Linked DNA regions of Oryzias latipes. The protein of the gene in region 1 interacts with the protein of each later gene in a pairwise test. Links are inferred from orthologs where the notes say so. Each region holds a gene or a part of one and is shown on either strand. Other genes may lie near its edges.

The links.
Region 2: the proteins of intersectin-2 (region 1) and la-related protein 6-like interact in a two-hybrid assay, tested with the Homo sapiens proteins (2 studies listed by BioGRID, with this or other methods). The link is inferred for Oryzias latipes from reciprocal best matches to the Homo sapiens genes ITSN2 and LARP6.

Annotation. Positions count from the first base shown.
Region 1 is NC_019882.2:14,797,306-14,801,128, forward strand, and holds part of intersectin-2, read left to right. Parts: coding exon 1-1; intron 2-1,407; coding exon 1,408-1,882; intron 1,883-2,093; coding exon 2,094-2,257; intron 2,258-2,347; coding exon 2,348-2,408; intron 2,409-3,696; coding exon 3,697-3,823.
Region 2 is NC_019861.2:31,088,284-31,091,339, reverse strand, and holds the end of la-related protein 6-like, read right to left. Parts: intron 2,540-3,056; coding exon 1,442-2,539; 3' UTR 673-1,441; downstream 1-672. UniProt on the Homo sapiens protein: Regulates the coordinated translation of type I collagen alpha-1 and alpha-2 mRNAs, CO1A1 and CO1A2. Stabilizes mRNAs through high-affinity binding of a stem-loop structure in their 5' UTR.

The DNA.
Region 1 (3,823 bases):
GGTGAACACTTGTTTTTGATGTAGCTGCACAATCTGCAGAATATTTCTGTCTCCTGAGTACAACTCACAATTAAAAAGACAATCCCATGCTGTCTTATAGCTACCTATCAGTGAATGAAAGGAACTCAGCAATCATTGGATTAAATCATTGGATTAAAACGCTTTCCGCCTGACTGCTTCCAGTTTTCATAGCATCTCAGGGCACCACAAAGTGGACATTTTTTAATTGGCTCACAATTTAGGGGGAACAGTCCTGCACGTACATGGAAACACAGAAGAGTAGGAAAAGATTGTAAACACACAAGAAAGTTATTCTTCACTTTAACACTGCGCCATAATCAACTCTACAAGCTCATTTACAGTTTGTATACATTTTACAATCTCCGATAAATAACCTGAAAAAAATTGTGTTTTTGGTGTTATGAACATGTTCTGGTTGCATTTTGCTGATGATAGAGGACATATATTAAAGAATTAAGCTTAAAATTCAATATTTCATTGCTGTGAATCATGAGCAGACAAATAAAATGCCATTTGAAAATACACCAGGTCTCCCTACAGTCTCCCTGCTCCGCTCCATTCTGATGCAACCACTTGTAGACAAATGTACGTCTTTGTTTTCTTCATCTGAGCTGGGATCAGGACAAAAATGTACGGCTGGATAGTTCCAATATTGCTCGCCATTTTTGTTGCACCCCTAGTGTTAGGTTGGGGTTGTGAGGGGCTGTAGGCTAGCAGGACAATTTGTGTGGGGCTAGGGTTCCTCCCACCCACAGCTCGGAGATTAATTTCTGATAAACTCCTGCAGCTCTGCAGATACAGCCCTCGAAAATGACCGGGGGGGGGGGGGGGGGGGGGGGGGGGGGTTCTGGCTATAAACAACATAATCATAATTAAAAGACCAATGGGAACGATTTAAAAATAGATCAAAAGATGATTGGAGTGGGTCCATGCAGACAGATGTGACACAGAGTCTGCAGATGTTTTTTCAACAGACTCATGTTAAATGATGCATGTTAAAACCCTTCATAATATAGGAAGCACTTTTATATAAAATGCAGCTTTCTACTAAGTTTAGTGTAAGGAAGAGTTGCAGCCATTGTGGTCACACTGATGTCTGGCACAAATATTACAAACTCTGGACTAGAGACTGCTGCTGGACTACAGTCTGACAACCAAGCGTATTTTGACCTGTTTAGTCTACGAGTTAGTGAAAATCCAGTGAAATTTCTGACGTTTTTTTTAAAAAAAAGTCTTGAACTGATGCAAAATAATAAAATAAGAAAGCTCTGATCTAGGGGTTTTAGATTCAAATTCCTTGTAGATGTTAAAATTTACAAGATATTTGGTAAAAGAAAAAACATCCCGTGAAGTCTTTTAAAGTGTTGTTTTTGTTTTTTTCTACAGACAGAAGAAGCTGGAGCAGGAGAGGAGAGAGCAGGAGCAGAGAGAAAAAGAAAAAAAGGAGAGAGAAGAAGAGGAGGAACGGCAGAGGAGGCTCCTGAAGGAGCAGTGGGCTAGGCAGAGAGAGGAAGAGGAGAGAGAAGCACAAGCTCGCCTCCGGGCTGCCCAGGAGAAAGCACAGGAAGAGGAGCAACAGAGGAGGGAAGAGGAAAGAAGAAGGAGAGAGGAGGAGGAGGAGAGGCAGAAAAGAGAACAGGAAGAGGAAAGGAGGAGAAAGGAGGTGGAGGAGAGGCAGAGAAGGGAAGAGGAGGAGCGGAAGAAGAGAGAAGAGGAAGAAGGGAGGAAACTGAAGGAGTTGGAGGTGATGAAGAAGAAGGAACTGGAAAGAGGAGGACAGCTGACAACATACAAAGCTTTGTATTCATTTGTTGCCCGCAACGCAGATGAGCTTAGTATAGATGCAAACTGCCTCATCCAGGTAAGAAAAAAGCTTCTATAATTTTTAAATATCATTAATAATCTGCAGCTTAATATCAGCGAAAAATATTCTTACATGAAAATATTTCCTTTAATAAACTAACTGGATGACTAATTGCTACCACTTATTTTATGGATGGATTATTGTTTGTTATGCAAAATGTTTTTTCTTCTAATCTCACCTTGTTGCATATTTCTGTCTGTTGTGGCAGGTGAATGAGCTCACTGTGGGCGAGCCTGGCTGGTTGTGTGGGACGTACTGTGGAAAGAGGGGCTGGTTCCCCCAGAGTTACGCAGAGAAATGTCCCACCTTCCTCACCTCCGAAGCTGCTGCTCCTGCTGCTGGAAAGAAATCCTGTCTTCAACCAAACACAAAGTATGAGGCCAAAGTTAAGCAGTTTTGGATATTTTCCTTGAAAGTTGTGTCCAGTGCTGTCTCTTAAAGCTGGTCCCACTTGTATTGCAGAGATCCAGCTGTGGAGAAAGCAGACAATAACACTGCTCTTGTAAATTCAGATCCTTCACAGGTGAGACGATCTTAATATGCCAGATGTAGTTAAAGCATTCCATCTTTCTGTTATCATCTCTTTAATCTTCAGATTTAAGGTAAATGTCATGGAAGAAAGTCTTTTTTCACATTAAACTGCAAGAAACATTCCAGAATACAATGTTCTTTGCTGATATTAATAATTTTTTCTCACAATTTTTTACTCTGATTTTGATTAAATACTCACTCTGATAAAAAATTGTGTTGTTTTTTTTTACATGGGCTTGTGGCATTTTTCTGATGATTGAGAACATATATTAAGAGATGCATTAAGAGATGCATTTCTTTGTTCAAATCGTTGTGAATCAGGAGCAGATGAAAGAATGCTGTTTGTAAAAGATGGTATTTGTGACGTAGAAAATACGCCGAGCGGGACACAAGCTCCTTGCTCTGCGCTCTCAAGAATGGGGAGGGGAAGGGGGGCGGGGTTGCTCTTTGCCAACAGTCCAACCCACAACTCAGGGGTAAATTTCAAATGTACTGATGCTCTGCAGAAACTGTGTCCTAGAAAATTACAGGTGTTTTTTATTTTGGCTACAAAGGCATATTCGTATTCACAACAAAAGACCAGTGGAAAACGCCTTTGAAAATAGATGATTGGACTGGGACTTTAAAGCATCGCTTCAAATACAACACAACCAAGTGGCAGTGAAAGATGTGCATCACAGCAAATCAAAAAGTCAAATGTTTAAAGGTCGTAGAAACTCAAATAGTCCAAATCATTCATACACGTAGCCATGGTTTAAGTGTATTTTCTTTATGCCCTATTAATAAGGGAAAACATCCAGAAGGAGGAAGCAATGTCCAACAGAAAAGACTTGTTTAGACACTTTTAGGTCAGAGAGGACAAAAACAAAACAAACACTAGAGCATCTCAATTTGAATAAAGGAATACTTAAAAGTGCAATTTAAGCCTAACTGTCTTCATATCTGTCCTCTATCATCAGAAAAATTACACAAGAACATGTTAATAACACCAAAAACGCCATTTTAATCATGGTGGCTCATCTTGGCCTTACACTGTAAGTGGGTCTCGATGTGTCAGACCAGCTGCTGGTGCCACAAACGTGCACGCACATCTTTTGCCGCAGCACGCGTATGTATTTTTAGCTTCTCCCTGTTGGGACTCATCCTCTCTCAGCTTCTCTGTGGGTCACACTCTGCCGTTTGCTGAAGTCCACCCGACCGTCGTTTGTGTTAGTGGGTCTGTCCTCAGTCAAATGCTGAGAAAGTTACCTGCTGACTGATGCCTGCGCTTTGCTCTCCAGTGTTCGGTCACTCTGCTCGCCAGGGCCATCTCTTCGTGGTCAGCCACCTCAGGTGGTCACCCAGACTCCCCACCTGAGGTGGGCGGAGTGCTGTTGAGCCTCTCGCAGGATGACATCATCACTGTGC
Region 2 (3,056 bases), on another chromosome or scaffold:
GAAAACAAAGCTTTAAATGGAGGACAAACAAAACTTTGGAACATTGCGTTTATATTAAATAAAAGAAAAATCAGCGCTTCAGGAGAGTTTGAACCTTGATGACATCTCCACACATGTGAATGAAAACATACCAGAGCCTTTGAGCCCCTACTAATCAGATCATGCTATGGGAAGGCCTGCAGCAGACCCAGACTGTGGGAAAAACAAAGTCCTGCGCAGACAGAAAAAAAAAAAATGGTTCTTTACAGCAAGATGGCAGTTCAATCCCCGGGCAGCTCTTGAAAATAATAACAGTAAAATACAGCTATCTGAAGTGCAACATCACTGAAAGGCATTGAGAAAGCAATTCAGAGTGGCTACGAATCAGGATGGGCAAACATCGTCCCTGTATTTCACACAGAAAGCTGGAAAAAGATTGACTCCTGGATGCTTTAAAAGCAAGAAGTGGGAAAATATTTCCCTCTGAACAAAATGAACTACAGAACAATTTTGACAAAGTATACCCTCTAGGTTTTTCCAACACCTATAAACTGATTTTCAAATATCGTGTGCCAAGTCAGTCTTGAAAATCCGGGATCTCTTTAACCATCTTGGCACAATAACGATATCCAGCTTAATCCTGCTGCTTAAGACATTTGAGACAAAAACACGTAGTAAAGACAGAAATCAAACTGACGGCAATTTCAGTGATTTATTTGTACAATAGGAGTTTCAATGTACAAATGCCCCAGCTCAGATGTAAAGGCAATAAACACATGTGCATCGATTCTGCCAGACCTCAACTTTCCTCAAACCTCAATGTGAGCATGTCAAAGCAAAAACGAAAAGAAAACACAGCTTAAAAAATATAAATAAAGCAGCTACCTGCCTGTAGCAAGTGCCAAAGCATACAGAAAATGAACTTAGAATAAAAAAACGCAACAAAAATTCAACCTTTATGGCAAAAATGGCTTCAATTCAAAATATCCTAGAGTGAAATTCACATTAGACTAACACACGAGAAGGCATATGGTGATATCTCTATCAAACCCATGTGCCTGTGCCACTTGCACATTTAAAATCCAGACAATGTTGCAGGGGGAGGGGGTTTGCACATCAAATGGGACGCTCAAACCAAAGTGGACGAGGTGGAATTCTGTCAGGCTCACCCGAACCAGCACACAGCCCGAGGAAATGGAGGCAGCACGGTCCGTTTCCGTGGCGCCCTCTCTCAAACGTCCGTTTACATTCACTCTGATTTCCATTGGTAAATCCCTCATGTTACCATGGCAACGCAAAATGCCGTATAAAAATATAACAAATACTGAAAACTAACGCACTTGACAAAAATATATCTACACAGTCTCAAATGTTCGAGGGAGGGGGCGGGGCAAACATGGCCAAGTTTCTGATGGATCTGGAAGGGGCAGGAAATGCATAAGGATGTGCCTCGTATCAAGTATCAAGTCTGAGTGGCGGCAGACTTTCCTCTCTCAGCAACAGTGATGCTGTGAAAGCCGCGGGTGCCGTCGGGACCCCTCGGCAGCCTCATTACTCCGGGTGGCAGGCCGTCTGCGTTTTGGATCTTTCTCCCCAGCATCGGGCTGCCGACTGGACTGCTCTCCTGAGACGCCACCTGCTTGCGCCGTTGAACCCACGGACTCCCTGAAGGGGTGAGGCTGCTGTCTGAGGAGTAGTCTGCCCAGCGGCGCCCCGCCTCGGGGCTCAGCCTCCCCTCACTGGCGAGGGGAGACTTGTGCGAGTGGGGGGATTTGCGCTGAGGACACGGGCTGGCACGAGGACTCGACCAGGGGCTGTTGCGTGGAGACATACCAGGACTTAGGTGATTGTTCTGGAAGTTGATGCCAGCTGTGGTGGGGCTGAGCTTGTTGCAGGAAAGGGATTTTCTAGCCAGCCTGGGCGATGTGGGGGTGCTCTCCGTTTCTGAAGAGCTGCAGGCGGAGTCGTCTCCGTGATACTGGAGCTCTCTGACTCTGCTGTTCAGAGAGCGACTCTTGCGCATCCCTCCCTCCTCGCGGGGCCGTTCTTTGGGCACCTTCTTTTTAGGCGGCTTGGTTCCAATCAGAACCACTTTTAACCCCAGGGAGCTGTTTCCTCCATCTTCACTTCCTACTGCATCGTTGGCTTTTACGGCGGCTTCCACCTCCTCAAACTCCACAATGGCGCACTCGTCAGCGCCTAACTGAGGGTAGCGCCCGCTCAGCCTCTTCAGGTCAGCCGGCAGGTCTTTCCCAGGCTTCAGGACTCTCACAGAAGAGATGGCGCCAAAAGTTCCAAATTCTTTGAGCAGCAGCTTCATCAGCTGCTCCTGCTGAGTGGCTCCTCCTTCTCCGCTCCCATTCTCTTTAGTTAGAACGGCCAAATCAGGCCACTTCTGCAGATCGCTCAGCAGCAGCATGCGGCTGGGCAGCGACTCGCTGGCGAAGACTGGCACCGCGGACTTGCGCCGCACTTTGCGACCCTCTTCGTTCAGCTCAAGCATCTTTGAGTGCTTCAGAGCATAAGCGGTTGTTCTCCAGTCACGAGTCAGGTGTTTCACCTGCAACAAGACAACACTTCTGTCACTATGGCAACACAAAACCTTTTGATAGGGGTATTGCACAGCCATTAGGCTAAAACGGATCCCACCTCAAACATGAATACAACCATTCAAGACTATTGCTTGCCTTTTAAAGTGCATTTATGAAGCTTAAACTTTGTTGCGTGCGGTTCAATAGAGCCAAAAACCCTGTTGTATTTGCTTATCAGCCTGTTTGGACAGATTTGTTATTGTGGCATAAATAAATTCGACTAAATGAGCCAAGAGCTCTGCATGCATGAGCCTAAAGTGTCACCTGCTGTTGTGAAATAAAGTGAGAACATTATTGAGCACAGTCATCCTGACACCAGACTTCCAAAAAAATGCTACTCTCATCTCACGAGCTTCACTCCAACCTCCTGCAGAATTAGGTTCTACACAGGTCCTCCACTCCACCACTAAGGACGGTTTCTACGGTTTCCCACCATCCCCTTTGTTTGCTCCCCATCCCACTACCTTACAGCCTCTCAAAATCCCC